Saccharomyces cerevisiae S288C: one gene and its partners. The protein of the gene in region 4 binds, or shares a complex with, the protein of the main gene of each other region. Each region holds a gene or a part of one and is shown on either strand. Other genes may lie near its edges. The genes, in order: MRPL44, RTC6, MRPL1 and MRPL22.

Evidence for each region.
Region 1: MRPL22 (region 4) and MRPL44 share a complex: the UniProt entries of both Saccharomyces cerevisiae proteins name them as parts of the mitochondrial large ribosomal subunit.
Region 2: MRPL22 (region 4) and RTC6 share a complex: the UniProt entries of both Saccharomyces cerevisiae proteins name them as parts of the mitochondrial large ribosomal subunit.
Region 3: MRPL22 (region 4) and MRPL1 share a complex: the UniProt entries of both Saccharomyces cerevisiae proteins name them as parts of the mitochondrial large ribosomal subunit.

What each region holds. Positions count from the first base shown.
Region 1 is NC_001145.3:720,460-725,382, forward strand, and holds MRPL44 (mitochondrial 54S ribosomal protein mL53 MRPL44), read right to left. Parts: upstream 945-4,923; coding exon 887-944; intron 740-886; coding exon 501-739; downstream 1-500. Other genes in the region: MRE11 (MRX complex nuclease subunit), read right to left, coding at 1-194; ORA1 (oxidoreductase), read right to left, coding at 1,134-1,937; TATA-binding protein-associated factor TAF7, read right to left, coding at 2,154-3,926; MTF1 (RNA polymerase specificity factor), read left to right, coding at 4,167-4,923. UniProt on the Saccharomyces cerevisiae protein: Component of the mitochondrial ribosome (mitoribosome), a dedicated translation machinery responsible for the synthesis of mitochondrial genome-encoded proteins, including at least some of the essential transmembrane subunits of the mitochondrial respiratory chain.
Region 2 is NC_001148.4:196,478-201,085, forward strand, and holds RTC6 (mitochondrial 54S ribosomal protein bL36m RTC6), read left to right. Parts: upstream 1-2,617; coding exon 2,618-2,899; downstream 2,900-4,608. Other genes in the region: MRN1 (Mrn1p), read right to left, coding at 1-1,311; tRNA (34-2'-O)-methyltransferase regulator RTT10, read right to left, coding at 3,018-4,608. UniProt on the Saccharomyces cerevisiae protein: Component of the mitochondrial ribosome (mitoribosome), a dedicated translation machinery responsible for the synthesis of mitochondrial genome-encoded proteins, including at least some of the essential transmembrane subunits of the mitochondrial respiratory chain.
Region 3 is NC_001136.10:680,066-685,627, reverse strand, and holds MRPL1 (mitochondrial 54S ribosomal protein uL1m MRPL1), read left to right. Parts: upstream 1-2,046; coding exon 2,047-2,904; downstream 2,905-5,562. Other genes in the region: TMA64 (Tma64p), read left to right, coding at 1-1,682; mitochondrial 54S ribosomal protein bL34m MRX14, read right to left, coding at 3,136-3,453; YDR114C (uncharacterized protein), read left to right, coding at 3,402-3,704; PDS1 (securin), read left to right, coding at 4,011-5,132. UniProt on the Saccharomyces cerevisiae protein: Component of the mitochondrial ribosome (mitoribosome), a dedicated translation machinery responsible for the synthesis of mitochondrial genome-encoded proteins, including at least some of the essential transmembrane subunits of the mitochondrial respiratory chain.
Region 4 is NC_001146.8:302,316-307,627, forward strand, and holds MRPL22 (mitochondrial 54S ribosomal protein uL22m MRPL22), read right to left. Parts: upstream 2,301-5,312; coding exon 1,371-2,300; downstream 1-1,370. Other genes in the region: 40S ribosomal protein uS3 RPS3, read left to right, coding at 365-1,087; TDA7 (Tda7p), read right to left, coding at 2,755-4,665; NOP13 (Nop13p), read right to left, coding at 5,086-5,312. UniProt on the Saccharomyces cerevisiae protein: Component of the mitochondrial ribosome (mitoribosome), a dedicated translation machinery responsible for the synthesis of mitochondrial genome-encoded proteins, including at least some of the essential transmembrane subunits of the mitochondrial respiratory chain.

The DNA of each region.
Region 1 (4,923 bases), on a different chromosome or scaffold from region 4:
TTGGAAGGCTTATTCACGTGAAAAAGATCACCGGACTGTACAACCATGTCTACGTTGTTATTTTTGGCCAGCATCATGACTTCATGGAAAGTTTTCCAAGAATCATCGCCAGTAATGGGATCATTTTCGTTGTAACCCACATGATTATCTGTAGTAATTAAAATCCTTATTGTGTCTGGATCAGGATAGTCCATAGTCGAGTTTTATCGGATCTGAGCAGGTACAACTTGCGTCAATTGTCTGCATTCTCTTAATGTTGTTTCCACATTGTCTTCCTTACAAGCGTAAAGAGTAATTTAATATGGCTATAATGTTTGGGTTCTATTCGATTGGCCATACTATTTAAACCTTAAGTCAGTTTGGTTGGGTATATCTATCTATACGTTTGTGTAATTGCATATATATTATTTACAGGCTTGCTTGTGAACTCTGACTTTGTTTTTGTTAGAATATTAGAAACGTGCATGCCTACAATGAGATTTGTAGATGCCTTTATTTTCTCAATGCATTTCCAACATATGTTTGAGATCCAGCTGTTTCGAGTGACGGTCGAAATGATTGGCTAATTCCTGAAAGTTCATGTTTGATGGATCGACTTCCATTTCTTTTTTGTCCTTGTAGGTTACTTTCACAAGAGGCTTGACTTTATTGTAATCTGAGATAATTTCCGATTGAATCTGCGTGCCCATGTTTCGTTGCGTTGGTGGAATGGCAGCAAGTACTAACCTAGCAACTTTCGCTGAAATCAATGATATGACCATATCATTTGCTGTTAGTATTTGTGATAGATCGGTTCGAGCCTACCTCAGCCTAGTTTAGCCAAATCTTTAAATCATGATGGCCAAAGGTAAGGAGAACGAATAACAGAGCGAAAAAAAATACATACCTTCCTTGCCAAAGGGATTAAACCTGACAATTACCTTACTGAAGTATTTAGTTATCATGGCGAAGATATAATTAAGCTCGTTTCTTCTTCACATCTGTTCATCCTCTATTTGAGGATCCATAAGTTTATCTCTTTTATTTCGCCGGTATATTCCGTAGAATCGCGCAAAACGGTTCAGGGAAGAATGAAATAGCTAAAAAGTCTTACATGTATAAAAAGTATACAGATTTACTTAGTTTAGCTAGGTTTATCCACGGAAGATATGATGAGGTGACGCTTGGTTTGTTGGAAAGATTAAAGTGTCTGCAATTACAGTATTTTGTTTTCTGGAAGTTGCATAGACGATCAGATCAGCCACGTCATCAGCCATCAATGGGGTAGTATCCTTGTAAACATTCTTGGCTTGTTCCTCGTTACCTCTGTATCTAACTAGTGAAAATTCAGTCTCGACTAGCCCTGGTGCAATTAGAATGACTCTAATTTTAGTGTTGATGAGCTCCTTTCTCAAACTATCAGTGAACGCCCCCACGGCAAACTTAGAGGCACAATAGATAGAACCTGTTGGGTATGCGTCTCTGCCAGCGATTGAACCCAAATTTACAATATCTCCTGAATTCTTGGCTTGGAATATGGGCAGTACAGCTTGTGTGATATTGATTAAAGCCGTGACGTTGGTGTCAAACACGTCCTGGATATCCTCCGTTGCGATCTGGCCCACACGGTCACTGCCAAGAGCCTTTCCGGCATTGTTCACCAGAATGTCAATATCCTTGAACTCTTGTGGCAAGTTTTCAATGAAGGGCTTGATTTTTTCTGCTTGAGTGATATCCAGCTGGGCCACATGAACTTTTGCGTTTGGAAACTCTTGATCAATGGTCTTCTTCAATTCCTCGAGCTTTTCTAATCTTCTAGCAGCCAAGATCAGTTTCATATCACCATTGGATGCCTCCAAGTACTCTAATGCGGTCGCCTTACCAATACCAGCAGATGCACCTGTAATGAGGACAGTCTTCTTAGCCAATCTTTCTGCAGCTTTTCTACCTTGGGACATTATCAAAATACGTTCTCAATGTTCTATTTCCCGCCTTTACTAGTGAGCTTGAACACTTTCTATGCGCCATGCTGTTTCATCTATCCTCCTTTCTTCAGCTTTTTATATCGCTCCGATAAGAAAAATCGGTGTCGTGCCTTAATATATATCAATGCTATACGTCATAGAGTAGAGTCGTATAGTGTATAAGAGTAATATATAGATGATAAAGAGAACTTACTCATCACCCTCTGCACCAAATAGCATCATCATATCGAGATCGTTCTGGTCGAGTGTTTCCTCTGCGGGGGCTTCATCAAGTTCGCGCACCACCTTGTTCTCTTGTATGTGTTCCCGTTCATGCACATTATCCTCGTCCTCATCGTTTTCTTCGTCATCCTCCTCGTCTTCGTCCACTTCATCCTCTTCCTCTTCTTCTTCCTCTTCCTCTTCTTCTTCCTCGACGTTATTTGCAGTTTCTGCGTCAGAGCGATGTTGATGTTGTTTCTGGACAGAATCTTCGGTTTGTTGTAACTGCTTACGTTTTAGTTCAGCCTCCTTCTCGAGCTTTTTAATGCTATCTATGAACCTGCTTTTCAAAAGAGGATTCGTGGCTTTACTTAATTTATGCTTGGTATGGGCCAGGGTGGTCTCTAGTTCGTTCAATTCGTCCGCAAGTAATTCAGTGTGCTGTCTGTTTTCGTCTTTTTCGTCATCAGATTCACTTTCCCCACCAGCAGCTTCAATGTCACCGTCGTCATCATCGTCATCATCTTCTCCGCCTGTGTCTTGATCCACCTCATCACCGACTTCCTCTTGTTGTTGCTCCTTGTCTCCCTCGGCACCGCTACCTTCCTCTTCACTTTCAAAAGCAGCGCCTAGGTCAAGATCCTCCTCTTCTTCTTCTTCCATTCCTTCTTCTCCCTCTTCTTCTGCACCTTGTTTTCCTACTGCCGAAGCAATTGTGTGTATCTCTTCTTTCTTTAAAGCAGGTCTAGATAAAGGCTCTCCAGGCTCCTCTTTGAAATTTTCCCAACTAGAAACACGCTCTTGCCTCGCTTGCAGTTCACTTTTATCAACCAGATCATAGCTGACCTCTTCTGCCTGTTTATCTTGCTTCAAAAGCATATCAACCACTTTTTCTACATAGTCTATTTCATTAGGGTCCATTTTCCGTCTAAATCGTCTATTTCGAACATTGTACAAAGGTGGTGATATTCCATGTTTGTAGTCATAGCCCTTCAAAGCTATTTCTTTCAAATGTTTAGCCTCCATATCACTTAAAGGCGCACCATTGTATCCTTTTAAGAAGGTTTCTTTATTCTCCCAAATTTCATCCTCTATGCCTTCAAAATGCTTAACAACCAGATCTTCTGTATCAGGGGCTTCTAGGGCATATACTTCTTCCTCTTCTTGTATAGGTCTTATGCATAGTAGCATTTGTGATACGTCAAATGTCTTCAGGAGGTTTTTTCTATCGACGCTCTTGTTCACTTCTATAACTGTAGGCAAATCTACTAGAATGGCACCATACATTACATCGTTTATTGTTACGACAGCGTGTCTCTCGTTTTTCCACTTGATACTTATCCCAGAATAATCACCTGATTCTAACGAATTTTTTACAAACTCTAACTGTATGTCTGGAAGTATCCTTAATATCACACCACTCTCTATGAGAGGGTCATCTTCAATATCAGAGGCTTCTGAGTCGTACGCTTCCCCAGGAATTCTAATAGGTTTGAGACGTAGCTTTGGCGCCTTGTGTATCTTCTTAACTGGTTCTTCATTTTTTTTCAAGTTTAACTTTAACTTCAATGAATTCTTCTTCTCTTTGCCGTCAGCACTCTCTTTCTTTTTCTTTAGGTTTATCTTTAATTTAGGCTTTGGTTTGATATCTTCATCAGTTACCTTTGTCTTTATGCGAATTCTCTTTAGTTTAGGCTCGCCTTCTAATGGTTGATCCTTCTCTCCTGGTCCTCTGGGTTTTTTAATTCTTATAACAGCCATATTTACGTCGATTATTGCGACTAATTTGAATGGTAACACTGTCTCTTGTTTATGTAGTTCTTCCTATTCTTCTCGCTTTTATTATTTTTGCTAGCAAGTTTTGTCTTGAAATTTTATTTACTGTTCTCATCGGCCGAATAACAGCGATATTATTGTATGATGATAATAGAGATGAAACTTTACAAATGCGGTTACTACGTCAGTCAATACCATTCTTTGAAGTAAGAAGGCTCAGCAACTATGTCTGTTCCAATCCCTGGTATTAAAGATATCTCCAAACTTAAGTTCTTTTATGGTTTCAAATATTTATGGAATCCAACAGTATACAATAAAATCTTTGATAAGCTGGATTTAACTAAAACGTATAAACATCCAGAAGAATTGAAAGTACTTGACCTCTACCCTGGTGTTGGTATACAATCAGCTATTTTTTATAATAAATATTGCCCCAGGCAATATTCTTTATTAGAAAAACGCTCAAGTCTCTACAAGTTTCTGAATGCAAAATTCGAAGGGTCTCCATTGCAAATTCTAAAAAGAGATCCATATGACTGGTCAACCTACTCGAATCTAATTGACGAAGAGCGAATATTTGTTCCTGAAGTTCAATCCTCAGATCATATTAATGATAAATTTCTAACCGTTGCTAATGTGACGGGGGAGGGTTCTGAAGGTCTTATAATGCAGTGGCTGTCCTGTATTGGAAACAAGAACTGGTTGTATAGGTTTGGTAAAGTAAAGATGTTATTATGGATGCCAAGCACAACAGCTAGAAAACTTCTAGCTAGGCCAGGCATGCATTCTAGATCCAAATGTTCAGTAGTAAGGGAGGCATTTACAGATACTAAACTCATTGCCATATCAGACGCAAATGAATTGAAGGGATTTGATAGTCAATGCATAGAAGAATGGGATCCCATTTTATTTAGTGCTGCGGAAATATGGCCTACAAAGGGAAAGCCAATTGCGTTAGTAGAAATGGACCCAATTGACTTCG
Region 2 (4,608 bases), on a different chromosome or scaffold from region 4:
GCTGCCCAGGTAAACAGTCCTGTTACCCAAGTTATTGGGGCCGCCCGCAGATGTAGCAATTGCAGCAGCAGCAGCAGACTGTTGTAACAAAGCGTTAGATATAAATTCACGATCAGAAAACTCTATCATATGTTCCATACCAGGTTGTACACCTAGAAATTGAGCCGCATTATGTTGTTGAGTTTTGGTAATAAATGCACATCTGTCCTTTCCATAAAATATTCTCTTATTTTGATAGTATGGATTTCTAATTGGCAGATTCGTAACCACTTTTATAGCATTTAAAATAGACGCAAAATGAATAAAGGCGATTCCCTTTTCCTTGATAATTTTTATACAGTCAATTTCACCATATTCTTCTAAATCAACCCTCAATTGCTCCTCAGATAAATGTGATTCTTCGCCTTCAATCGTCATACGGCCAATGTATACATTTCTTGTGGCACCGTCCGTAGAGATTCTAGCCGCTACAATAGGATCAATTCGAGTTGGTTTCCCCCACCCGATTTTGATATCCCTGTCACCGATGTTCAAGCGCTTTAAAATTGCGTCTGAATGGAACAATAGTGCAGCACTTTCATCTATAAACGAAACGAATGCACACATCTTTTCAGGTATGATTTTGACGTCTTCAACGACACCACTTCTGACATGATCCAATAACTCTTTAACGCTTAGGTTTGGTGGCACATTACCCAAATAAACAGTTCTACTTGGGGCCGATGTAAAATTCAAAGGATTATTGGCTTGTGCATTAACTGGTAAAGGCGCATTTGCGTTGGTTACTGCAGTTGCAGTTGCCATAATAGTGGGTGACATGCCATCAGATAACACATTTGGATTCTCATCATCAAAAGGAGAGACTTCATTTGATGACCTTTCATATTCATAATAACGATTGTTATTGTGGACAACTTCGTTATCAATTTCGAAATTTTGTTCCTGTGAAAACCGTTGCTGTTGTGAATCATTTCGCTGCTTTGTCTGGAATTGAGTTGGTTGCTGTTGAATACGCTGATAATCAAAAATTCCGTCATTCTCGTAAAAGAACGAATCATTAGGCTCTCGTGTAAAGTCGGATGGTAAAAGAGTAAAATTACCATTCATAGGATACACAGCATCGCCAAAGTTTTGAGGGCCACTCGCATAAGTTTCTTGGTAAGGGCCGGAAGAACTGGACTGTTGATACATTGCAAAGTCATCGGAAGAAGGAAAAGGAGGGAACATGTTATTATTGTTATTATTATTACTGATATTATTATTGTTATTGTTATTGTTATTGTTATTATTATTGTTATAAGAAACCACCATGTTTTAATGCAATTGAAGTAGTATGTGATGGTGAAGAAAAAAAAAAATACAACGATAGTTCTTTGTTTTTCTTTAGGAAATATCTGAATAGAAAAGGCTTCAACGACCAGAATTGAAAAAATAAAATAGTATTAGCAAAGAAAAATATGATATTTTTTTTCAAAAAAAAAAAGAGTGTCCTTGAGAATTGAAGTTGGAAACGGATATTAATTAGACAAAAAAAATGATGAAGAAAGATAAAGTGAAAAATATGAGGCTGGAATGGACAGTTGAACCAATTAAGGAGCCTAATTGGTAAAGCAGAACAGGTGAGTCAGAAGACTTAAAAAGGGGCAAATATCAAATAACGGAAGAACGAAGAAAATAGAAGAATACAATGTTCAAAAGAAATGAAGCGTATGTGTATCTAAAGGAAAGGTACAGAGACTATCAGTTCTAGAAATTGTAAATTGGTAAAATAAACAGAGAAAGGAAGCTTAAGGAGAGAATTCAGTGGGGAATGTGACTCTGTGAAAATAATGTATAAGAGTGGGCAACGGTGTTCTCGTAGATATAGCGCTGTGCTGAACCAAGTTTAGTTTTTTTTACTTTCCACCAAAGGCAAAGAAACTGATTAATTTATTGCTGTGACGAAGGGATGGAGTATGATTGCGGTTGTGACTGAATCTCTTTGTAGACTTTCGGACAACCACAAGATCCACTTTCTGGTAAAGTTAATTTCAAGATCGTGTTTTTTTCTGTCTTTTCTTTCTCTTCTCATAGCCAAAATCGTACCACAAGGAAAAAAAGCACCGGGTTACCATGATGGTGGAATCCCACTGTAAGAACATAAGAATGATAAGTACGCAACTGCCACGGCAGTTGGAAGAAAGACATAGTCTGCCCTCATTCGGCGTGTATTATTGGACGTCAAGTTACCTTTTCCAAGTGTTTCCCTTTTTTGTCTTTTGAATTTGTCAATAGGGAGTGAAAGGTCCATAGTTCAAGGGCATTCCAAAAGTGAGGATAAAAAAAGCGTAGTCATAAACACTTCAACGGTGTTGCCGAGAATGACGACGGTCCGGTAGAAGGTGGTGCTTTTATCTATGTATTAGTTATTTACTATCTGCGTAACGAAACTATGATTTTTTTTTTCTCTCACCCAAGCCGAAATTAAAAATTCTGTCTTCGCACTTATTCCAAATAGAAAGGGAATGAATCGTGGAACTATTGGCATTGGGATATAGCCTCGATCTACTCGCATATAACGGCTACGGTTCATAGTACAAATCTCAGAATTTTTCAGCAAGCGAAAGGATTTCAAAGAATGTTTTTACAGACTCTCCGCCTAACTATGCCAAGGATGTTTTTGCACATGAAACCGTCCCCCATAACGATAACAAGGGCCTGCACAGTGCCCAGCCTCCTATCTGTTGCAGCTCCGCAACCAGCTCTTGTTGCAGCTAACAGACCTTTGGTTTTTAACAGAGGTTTCAAGGTCAGAACATCTGTCAAAAAGTTCTGCAGTGATTGCTACTTGGTAAGAAGAAAGGGAAGAGTATACATTTATTGCAAGTCGAATAAAAAACACAAACAGCGTCAAGGCTGAAAGATGTAAATCTCTTCGCTGTTCTCCGTTCGGGTGTTTACAAAATATTCTCATTTTCTAAAATCTGTAAATAATACATATCTATAATATTCTTTTATGTATATGTTAATTTTTTGTATCATTTTTTCCAAATTGATAAACCAACACCTCCGATCAGTAACGTTTTCTCAGAATCAGCATCTTCATCATTGGAAATGATTTCTAATGATCCTGTATCCGCCACAGTGGTACGCTTTTTATCTACCAGTGAAAGCTTGCCTGCGGTAATTTCCCAAGCGCGTATTACTTGATCAACCGATGTGGTAATGACTTCTTTGCCACCATTAATCAACATACCGGACGTTATTGTCGAAGAAGCTGCTGCAGCGATAAAGTCACTTGTTTTTAACGTTACTTTATTCGAGTCATCTAATTTCAGGTTGCTTAACCCTAAACCATTATCATCACCCCCTGTCAAAATTGTGGCGGAAGTTCTTGTAGCATTAGCAACATAGTCTAGGGACTTGACACCAGATTGATGTACCGGCAACTGCGCTACAGGTGCGGGAAGATTTGAGATAGTAGCGTCCAGTTTGTGGTCAACCAAATCGCCAGAAATCGGATCAACGGAAAATGGTACGTACTCGGTTATATTATAAACCACTAAATGTCCATCAGTTGGTGAAATGACAACAAGGAGCTCTTCTTTCAGTGCAATAAATACGACGTTGAATAAACAGCACGTCTTATAACGACCTTGCATGATCAGGTCAAACTTATTCTGATTTTCCCTATAGTGCCAAATCTTTATTGTTGAATCTGAATAAACAGTAACTAATAAGAAGTCACCTGACTGTGATATAAATTTGACATCAAAATCCATGATCCTTAGATCAGAATTATTTGTGGATACAGGTAAAGCTTGTCGTATGGTCATATATGGTCGTTTATTATACTTATCGTTCAATTCCCATAAGAATAACTCCTCTCTAGCTGAAGATGATATCATTAGTTTGTGATTTATAAACTGACAACGTTGTAATCCAGACACATGCTTTCTTTGTGTCCAAAAATTCTGCACCTTCCCTGTTCTATTGTTAAAATATCCCAGCTTAATTGTAGTATCTTCAGATGCAGTACAGAATATATGCCCATCCTTAAAATTGTCATTCGTGTTGGTATTTGAAACAGGACAGATTGAAATATCTCTGATTTCCCTTCCGTGTACACCATTTTCTAAAGTTTCAGGCACAATGGAGTTGTAAATTTTCCTTAAATGAAATCGGGATGCCTTAATATACATTAATACGTGGCCATCAGTAATTTTTGCGAGATTCCACAGACGATGGGAACCACCACAAACTTCACTAGCTAGTTCATAACAGTTGGTTTCATTGTAGAGATAAAACAAGCTGGACTTGAACCCATAAGTAATGTATTCACCTTTTGAATTAAAGAAAGCGCCCTCCAAGAAACCTTTCATCATCTTATTAGAATGCAAGACCTTATAACTTAGTCGGTAGGGACCCTCTTCCAAACTGTTTTTCGTCAACTCAATAAATACATAATAGCCATCCCTATTTGTTACTGAGAAGACCGCAGAGTTGTCTTTATCTTCTACAAATTCGATTGAGGTTGTAGTGTCTCCGGGACTTAATCTCCTAATTATGAAGGGCTCCTCGCTCTCATCAAGTAAGTTGTAGATTACTAATGTACTAAAACGTGAGCCG
Region 3 (5,562 bases), on a different chromosome or scaffold from region 4:
CTCACATAAAAGCTTTAAGTAATTTGAAGAATTCCGAAAGAAAGAAGTTGCTACAAACATTCCAAAAACAAACGAATAATGAGGAATATAGCTTTCGTACTTCCACTATAAAACAAACCAACTTTAACGGCCAGAAAAGTGTAGGAACGGTTTACACAGATGAGAATAATACCCCAATATTATTCAAGGAAAAGCATAAGGAGCAACTTTTTCCAACTGTGTATTCTTGTTGGGAATATCCTGCGTTATTGCCGATCGTTTTAACTCATGGATTTGTTATAGAAGAACATTTATTCAACGGCGCTAACTTAATGATTTCCGGTTCGATCCCACCCTTTGATCCTCGTTGTAAAATAGGTACTCTTTGTGGTATAGCTAGCAAACAGGCACCAGAAACTGTCTTAGCCATCGGTATTGTCGAATTAGATCTACCGTCCTTTGATAAAGTAATTGGTGAAACAGGAGTTGCTGTCAAAATCATACATCATTTCAATGATGGGCTCTCCAAAGTCTTTAAAATGAAATTGGAACCTCCATTTGTTCTCAGTACTCAATCAAAGGATAACAATATCAGTAGTAAACAGATAGAATCCTCGGAGCAAATCAAGGCTGTTGAAAAGGAACAAGAAGATGTAAAAGAAGCGTCTGTTGATGTAGAGGAGATTGCTGAAGTTCTAGACCATTTCACTGTGTCGGATGTAGATTATTTCATTACAAGAGCATTATATTATACCTTGACTCAAGATAAAGGTTTGGAATTACCCATTTCAGCTTCTAACTTCATCTCAAACCACATTATGCGTAATTTGCCTCCAATTGATCACAATGAAGTCAATGTAAAGAAAACTTCATGGAAAAAAAGCGCAAAATTTTTGAAACACTTCGAGAAAGAAGGCTTCTTGAAATTAAAAGGAAAGGGGGATGACTTAACTATTGTGGGCAAAAATACTGACAAGGATGAGTTAAAGAACTTTGTGCCATATAAGCTTGGTTGTAGCAAGTCTGCCACAGAAAGTAGGGAGAGCACAACCTCGAAGGAGAAAACATCTGGAATGATGTATTCACTGACTCTGTATAAACCCTTTAATCTTGCCAAAGATCTTTTGAAGGAGGTTAATTTGGCTTCTCACACGTACTACACCTCTCAGGACATTAGAAGCGCGGTTTCTCAGTATATTTCTGTCAAGAACCTAGCAGACACAAAAGATAAAGGAAAAGTTATTATGGACGATCTATTATTCGATATGGTCAATAAGAAGAAGAAAGTCTTGAATGCTTCACGTATCATTGCTAGAGGTGAAATTTTGCATCCCTTACTCACCAATAATTTTACCGAGTTCTATCAGATATTCAAAAGCGATGATACTCTCTTGTTCAAGGCGCCAATGAAGGGTTCCCTTCCGCATATTAAGATTATTACTGAAATGAAAATTGGCAGAAAAGTTATTACCAGAGTGAGCAATTTTGAAGTGTTTCAAGTCGACCCAGAATCACTTGCGGCTGACTTAAGAAAGATTTGTAGCGGATCGACAACAATAAGTGAATCACAAACATTCAAATGTGCTGAAGTGCAGGTTCAAGGTCCACACGGTCAATCGATCATTGATCACCTTAACAAGCTAGGTATTCCAAGCAAATGGATAGACTTTGAGAACAAGTTGAAGAAGAAAAAAAGAAAGTAGATTTATATCATATAAATGTTTAAATGCGTAAAAATGCCCGACATCAAAGCATATAGAACTTTTTTACCTAATCGAAGCTTTTCTAAAGTAGGTATTATGGTAGTCTTGAAACCCACAAAAAATATGAATGTATCATGGGAGGGAACGAAATGTTTTCAACAGCGGTAAAAATATACTATATTTGTATATCCAGTTCATCTTTACTATTCTCTATTTTTTAGTGTAACTTACATTATGAGACTAGCGACAAAATCTCCTTTTTAAGCGAAAAGAGAAAACTTTCGAAAAACCAAAGTATTTTGAAAAACGACCTGAAATAAAGGGAATTTGAAGAAAACTAAACAGTGATAAGTCATCAAAGAAGATGCTATCCGTAGTAGCGATCCCGAAAATATGTGTCACAGGTCCTGCAAGAAGATGCTTTTTTCATACTGCAAAAAAACTATACGCAGATGACTATAAACCAGCAGCTATGTCCTCCAATGCACCTTCGCTAACAAAAGACCAAGCCAAAAAAAGAGAGTTGAAAAGATTGGTACAACGAAAGGCCGAGGCAAAGAGACCAGCTACAGCAAGCCCATTGTACATGCCTGTTACAAAGGCACTAAGATATTTACGCGCAGCAGAAGTTGGCAGACCGCAATCGCAACAGACAATTAATTTGACTACATTGGTAGTCGGTGAAAGAGGTACAGCGCCTTTATCCGGTAGCGTGACATTTCCTAAGCCTTTGAGATATATCAAAATTGCTGCCTTTACCAACGACGAAAGTAAATTGGAAGAGCTTCGTGAGAAATACCCAAATCATTTGATTGGCGGAGCAGATCTTGTTGCCAAAATTAAAAGCGGTGAAATTAGCGTTGATTTTGACAAAGCATTTGCAACTCCTGATATTGTTCCAGCTTTACAATCGCAGGTGGCCAGGATACTTGGTCCTCGTGGGGTTTTACCCTCTGTCAAAAAAGGTACGGTGAGTGATGATATAAGCTCCTTACTTCAAGAAAGTCTAGGATCTATGCCTTTCAGGCAAAGGGGAAACTCTATCAGCATTGGAGTCGGCAAATGCTACTTCACTGATCGAGAAATTTTACAAAACATTATATCCGCTAGAGCGGCATTTAAAACTGCTGTTGATAATCAAAAATCTAAGAAACCAAATATACTGAGTAAAACCACATTATCAAGCACACATGGCCCCGGTATTGTAATCGATTTTGCTTAATCAGCGAATCAGTTTTGTCTTGTTGGACTTTTTTAATTGTATATATATATATACTGGTGCATTTTCTTTCTTTTTATATAAAATCATGTACATACAAAGTAACCGTCTTTTTAAAGTGGAATAAAGTAACTGCTCTTTTATTTTTGAATAATAGTGAAAGTGTATGTTGCATAATCATTAGATACCTATGTACAAGAAGTATTCAAATTTATCTGAATAGTATGTGAAATTTCAATGAGACAAAAACCACCTACCTTTGAGCTTCCTCCTTTTCAATATCTTAGAGCCCTGTTTGCTCTTGGCCCTAGCCAAGAAACCAAAAGTTCTCTTCCGTTTCAATGTACTAGGTTGATAGGTGTTACCCCTTGATTTCCATCTTCTTTGACCTATTAAGCCAAATCCCAACGGTGTGAAGGACGGAGTCTTCAATGGTGAACTGTTTAAGAGCATACCGGTTTGTGGGCGTAACACAGATAGAGCAGAGAAAGAAGATATAGATGAAAACATTCTTCTTGATTGAGGCTGGCAGAGCCTTGCAAATAGTGGCATTCCGTCCTGCGATTACTACTGTTCTATTCCAACGTTTCTCAGTGAGTTTCTCCTGTAGTTATTTCACTTGTTGTACCTCACAGCTTCTACGGGAAAATTGGCTTTTCAAATTCCTTACAGCTTTCGATCACGTGATCCGAGCTTCAAATGACCTTTCGACGATGCGTTTCATGATTATGTATATATATGTATATATATATATCTATACAGTCTTAAGGAAGCGCTTAAGTTGTTACATGTTAATACTTTAGGGTTGGATTTATTTTACGGATAACATAGGATTTGCGAGAAATATCTGCTTCACTATCACTTTCCGTGCGACGTGTGTATTTGTTAGCGTAGGTTGCTTATCGTTTTCACACAAAGATCTCAAACGCGTCAAAAAACTCGTGTAAGAGGTCAAAAAGAAAAACAAACAAAATAAACAAACAAAATAAATGCAGCTTTAAATCAATATTCGGCGAAGGCAAGTAACGGTTGCTAGCGGTTTTTCCCATTCACATACTATTACACTTCTGCGGTACCAAGCTAGATTAAGTGCTAGATAATAAACCTTTATGATGCCAGCTAACGAAGATAAAGAGAATAATATCGTATATACAGGGAATGAAAGTTCCGGCATTAACTTTCCACAGACGCCGGCTCACTTGCTGAAAAGGTCGCACTCTAATATTTTAAAACCACCTGTAAGATTGGACCAACTCAAAAGGGATGCGAACAGCAACAATGGCAACACATTAAAGTACATACAAGGAGGGAAGGAGGTGTCACCCACAAAAAGGTTGCATACCCATGCGCAACAACAAGGAAGATTGCCTCTGGCAGCAAAAGACAACAATAGATCGAAAAGCTTTATTTTTCCCGAAACTTCTAATCAGAGTAAAGATGCAGACTTACCACAACTACAGAATACACTATCTATACGCAAAAACGACCAACTCAGGAAACTTTCGCAAATTTCTCGCAGTCGTAGTAGGGCCAACCATAATGATTTGTTAAGCAATTCAAGAAAGTTACAAAAGTACGGTTCTGTCCTTGGTTATAATGCTTTACCTAAAATGAAAAGTCTAGTTTTAAAAGATCTTGCAGATTCAGGTAAAAATGAAGAGAGTTCCGACGATGATGAAGGTAATGAAGATTCCGAGAGTAAACTTGGCAAAAAACTCCAAAGTGCACTTTTAAAACAGGATTCCTCCGACGGTGAAAATGAATTAAATGGTGGCCTAGGACTATTTAATGAGCAAGGTGGTCTGCAACAACTCATAAAGAACTCCACGAAGAATGAGCAAAAAACTAAAAACGATAAAAGTGATAAAACTGATGACTATGATATCGAAATAGCACCACAGAGGCAGGAGCCGTTACCGTATGTACCAGAAGGCTATTCCCCATTTCAACAAGATGATATTGAAAAGCTGAAGACGTTCAACTCACCATATAAGCTTGACTTGGAAGACGAAGATGACACCCCAGATAAAGTTGATTTACTCCCACTAGAACAAATTGATGAAGAAGGCGAAAAAGATGAGACTGAGTGCATCACTCGGAATCAAGAAGAAGGTGCAGCGTTACCACTGCTGTCTAAGAACTTCAAAGAAGTTGCCGCCGTCCCAACCATGGAGTTAGTGTACAGCGAAGAAGGCCTCGATCCTGAAGAACTAGAGGACTTAGTTACTTAGATCCACTGCTCATTCACATACACACAACATATATACACGTATATACAGATACTTTATAACATACAATTCTGGTTAAAAGCGGTTGCTCCTGCCGCCGGGATTTAATCTGCGGCCTCACCCATACCTCAACTACCGCCATTGTTCGTACGTTTTAAATGGCTTCGCTTCACCCTTGATTGGCAAAGGGTCCAAGAGGGATCACATCACGATACTATTGTTTCTACTAATGTGCTGCGGGCTGATGTCCTCCACACGTCTTCAATTGCTTCTCTTTATGGGTTCTCAAAGTACTTCGTCATAATTACTTCATTATACCTAAGAAAATAATTTCATTTTTTTTCTGAATTTTTTAGCAGAAAAAAAAAAAGTTCAAGTTTGGCCTCATTCGCAATATTTTCTCCATGGAAACGGCTTGTATCTTGAGGCTTCT
Region 4 (5,312 bases):
GCCGGTAAATTCTCTTGTTTTTTTTTCTTGATTTCACTTCTTTTCATGTTCCTTTGGAATAATCTAATTCCTCATGATTAAATGAGACTGTTTTTTGTTTCCGTAACATCCATACCTTTCCTGTATAATATTCTTGCTGTAAAGTTTGTTTTTTTTATGAAAAAAACATTTTCTTTTCTTGAGATGAGGCGCCGCGAGCCTTTCTCCCATGGGCAGTGGTAAATTTTCCAAATCAATGCAGCTCTTTGAAATACAACAGCATTTTTCATACATTTTAAGCAATTTCTAGTTTGTAGATATTGTTAGATTAGTTTTTGAACATTGTTTTGATAACTGAAAATAAAACAGCAAACAAACTACAAAAATGGTCGCTTTAATCTCTAAGAAAAGAAAGCTAGTCGCTGACGGTGTCTTCTACGCTGAATTGAACGAATTCTTCACCAGAGAATTAGCTGAAGAAGGTTACTCCGGTGTTGAAGTCCGTGTCACTCCAACCAAGACCGAAGTTATCATCAGAGCTACCAGAACTCAAGATGTTTTGGGTGAAAACGGTAGAAGAATCAACGAATTAACTTTGTTGGTTCAAAAGAGATTCAAGTACGCTCCAGGTACTATTGTCTTATATGCTGAAAGAGTTCAAGACCGTGGTTTGTCCGCTGTCGCTCAAGCTGAATCTATGAAATTCAAATTGTTGAACGGTTTGGCTATCAGAAGAGCTGCTTACGGTGTCGTCAGATACGTTATGGAATCTGGTGCTAAGGGTTGTGAAGTTGTTGTTTCCGGTAAACTAAGAGCTGCCAGAGCTAAGGCTATGAAATTTGCTGACGGTTTCTTGATTCACTCTGGTCAACCAGTCAACGACTTCATTGACACTGCTACTAGACACGTCTTGATGAGACAAGGTGTTTTGGGTATCAAGGTTAAGATTATGAGAGACCCAGCTAAGAGCAGAACTGGTCCAAAGGCTTTGCCAGATGCTGTCACCATCATTGAACCAAAAGAAGAAGAACCAATTCTTGCTCCATCTGTCAAGGACTACAGACCAGCTGAAGAAACTGAAGCTCAAGCTGAACCAGTTGAAGCTTAGATTTAATTATTAAATACATAAATAAACTATAAGTACAATAATTTCTTCTATTCTAGTGCACTTAATTGTTGCGGTTTCTTGCATATTGCCGTGTTTAGTCAGGAGGGTGCACGTTGAAGCAGTGCGTTGAAACTAGTTGTTATTTACAGAATCACAATATTATATAATCAAAAGAAAAGTTTTGTACAACACAACTGTGAATATAGGTTAAGAAGTGAGTAGCAGTTCATCTTTCTCAGCTTACAGGACGATTTCTCGGATATGAATGAGTTCGCTATCGTTTTCACCACTTGTATACGCCGCCTGTAACACCCCTAATGGGCTTATCTCCCAACTGTACCCATGGCGCTCTTTTTTGCTCTTTTAAATGTGCTTCATAAGCAAGTCTTCGTTTCGTAACACTCTTTGTTCTCAGAATACATCTGACATGTATGTAAGGATGACTTATGATTCCGATTCTTGTCCTTGCCTTGAATTCAACACGTTTTCTCCAAAACCCGTCACTCCCTGTCCAAATCTGAGAGATATATAAGTCCTCTGGTTTCAAACCTAATTTTTGGCCATCTTTTACACCTTTTTGAAGTAGTTCTGCTACTTCGCGAGCAATTTTCTTATTAGAAAAGTGACACTGAGATATAGCTTTCATAACGTCGAGGCCTCCCAATAACCTCAACAAAAGTGTAGCCTTTTTCATCGACGATTTAATTCTATATGACTGAGCATATACGGAAGGTTCTAGTACTTCAATTTCTCTTTTTGTTAACTTTAGCTTGTAACGTTCGCTAGAATTTGGTAACTTTACAATAGTATCTTTCTTGTAAAACCCACCATTAATTTTACAATTAGCTTCATATATTTCCCTTTTCAAAGGAGATAATAAGCTCTGTGATGCTAATTGTTCCGGTTGCTGCAACGATATGATATGTTGCTGTAGTAGTTTATCGTTTTCTATGGTTATTGAATCCCTATTAACTTCAGGAGCCTCTCCAGAAGAATCAGAAGCAATCGCTAACCTATTAGAGAAGCTGCCTGCATCTTCATCCCCCCTGTTTTTTCCTTCCTTTGGTTTATTTTCTGTAATGCTTCCGAATAGTGATCCTCCTGAATTATTAAGACTTATTGGCGTTACATGAATCCAACGTCTACTTACAGAAGAAAGTAGAGCCCTAGAAATGACACCGACCTGAGATATTCTTGCCGTGTGGAAGTTCATTTTCTTTAATAAAAAAGATAGGGTGAGGTGAGGTTCTCTGACTTGCTATGCGGCTCCTAATGGCGTATGTTAAAATGCCTTCCAGATTGGATAGTTGACTTTTATTCAAAATCCCGAGTACAGTGAAGGCTTAGTTACCCCGCCCACAGAAGATTAATAGAATATCATGAGTACTGTTCAAGCAGCAAGCAGGAGAAAAGACTGAAAGAGTTTCGTATAATTTAGTATTTATTTATTTAGGAGAACTAAAATATTTTCTTTATACACAAAGAACAAAGTTTTCTTTTTTTTTCATTGCAGAATGGTATCATTGTTTTTTATGCCTTTTAAAAGGCCTTGTCGTTCTTCACTATTGGCAATAAAGATGTTTTTATGATTTTTAATAGTAGTGTTATTCAGCAAGAGCTGATTTTGCTTAATTAGTAAACATCATACTAATAGACTGAAGTCATCGTCATATAATTTCCCTCAAGAACCCTTGTGAATTGTTCTGAACTGTATTTCTCTCATCATGAGAGATGTCATTATCTAAACCACGTCCGAGTCGTATCGAATTTGAAGATAAAGTAGAAAAGCCACCTTGAGTAGATGAACCCAATGACGAATATGTAAATGAAGAGCCATAGGAAAATCTGTTTTCCTGGTCCATGAAATTACTCCGCATATTTTGAAAGGAGCCATTCATTGCGGTAACATTCCTTGGTGGTGGCACTGGAGGAGGATTTCCTCTTGCCTTAAAATTGAATTCGTTGCTGAACGGATTATTAGCAGAAGCAGTCTCGGTGTTTCGTTGCTGTGATCCCGAGTCTTGAGCTTGAAGTGACGCCTCTTTTGCTTGGGCAGTTGTTGGGAATCCCGTTCTGCGCCCAATCTCGTGACAGAAGGAATCGTTTTCCTTGAAATGCCTCTTTGCCTTCCTTTTTCTAACCAGCATGAACCAAACTACTAGTACACATATAAGAATACCACCGACGCTTCCTACCACACTTCCAACAATGGTACCAGTATTTGTCTTTGAAGTGCCTTGGTTTTTGTTATTATCCAAACTGCCATCAAGCCAGTGCTGATAGAAAGACATGTCAGCTGTGATCGTCGAAGATGGAGCGGAAAATGAGGTTACCTCACTTTTTGCAACTGCTATGGTCGTAGGTAATCCCGTCACGAACGTTGTAGAGGAGTCAGTAATATCATATGTTTGGGTATAGAAATAATAAATAGTTTTTGAATCTTCGGAGCTTGAAATGGCTACCGTATTGAAGACCTGACTGGATGTTGGTATGGGAGACGTAGAAATCGTACTAGTGCTGGGTGTTTGAGTGGTGGGTGGTATACTGCTGCTAGTAGTAGATTGTAAGGACTGAAAAGTATACGTGCTTGAGTAAGCACTTGTTGTATCATCTGATGATGATGATGATGAAGGACGGTTTGAAGGTACTTTACTGCTGGATGAGCTAACAGAACTTGACGTTGGCACGGAAATCGTGCTTATGGAAACTGTCGAAGATGAAGCTGATGGACTGAGTTTCGATGATTTGCTTATGGTTGAAAAATCGTTCGTCGATGAAAGCGATGAACTGTAAAACGATGTGGAAGTATTCCGACTGGAACTTGGGAATGTGGTATCTTTATTTGATATCGTAGAAGGAGAAGAAATTGTTGAGAACCAACTAGAAGAGAGTTCTGAAGTGGTACTAATTTGAAATGAAGTTGCAGATATGGAAGACAAGTATGTGTAACTAGGGGATATTACGGTGGGTGTTGATGGTGAGAAAATAGAAGATCTGCTGTCGAACGAAAACAATTTAGTGTCTGAATATGATGAAGATAGTGATAATGACAACGAGGACGATACCAGTAACGAAGATGGTGATGATAACGACGACCATGATGATGACAGCGATGTAGCTGATGACGATAACGTTGGTGTTGTTGATGTTAACGATGACCATTCCGACGTTATTGACGACGATGATGACATTGGTGACGTCGATGAGAAAATGGACATGGATGGTGTAATTATTGAGTATGAGGAGGTAGCTGGGTCATATTGGGAACTATACGTATCTTGCTCGCTCGATGAACTGCTGTCGGTAGATGATACTAAAGTACTTGTCGAAGATACATCAATGGATGTATGCAAAGTCTCATCATATGTTAAGCTTGTAGAATAATATGTAGGAGTAGCTGTACTAGACACGGGCGGTAATGAGGTCAGACTTCCTTGTTGGGGTACTAAAGTTGAAGTAGATGCGAAGACAACATCCGTTGATCGTGAATTCAGACTGCTACTTGGTTCACTGAATGACAGGGATATCGTATCAGATTCTCCAAGGGTGGTCCTTCCGATGGTACTATTGGAGTTCATACGATGGCCAAAATAATTACTCTATCCAGCTTTTCTTTTAGATTTCCTTCAGATATCGACGGATGGGGATTGAAATACTAAATGTGTGTCTTAAGCGAAAGTGTGCCAACAACCAGTCCAAAAAACGGATCAGTAGTGTTTCGGTACCTGGTGAGTAGTTTAGGATTTTATGAGTGTACGGCGATTATCAGTGTATTACTAATATGCGAACCGCTCCTAAAGATCTTGTTTACCTCATTTCTTTCTTCTTTTTTTTTTTTTTTTCCGTGCGTTCTCCCCGTGCCTTGATAAGCAATAATGGAAAAAATAAAAATAGCAGCAATTGGTTATACAATGTATATATAAAACATGAATGATTGAATAATTTACAAGCGAAATAATCGCATTATATACGTGGCACCTACAGTCAGTTCACGCTGATTAGTCAAACTTCACTTTCTTACCTTGTGATGGGACAATAGCTGCAGAACCTCTCTGAGCAGTGGCTAAAGCTACACTGCTCTTAGTTCGGTTATTGGAATCTACAGGTGGACGTCTGTTGGCGTTGGACCGCTTGTATTCGGGTTTGCTGCCGTTATCCTGTCCCGCACGATCGTATCCTTTGTTGTTAGAGATATCAAATGATGAGGAATTGTTTCTGGATACAT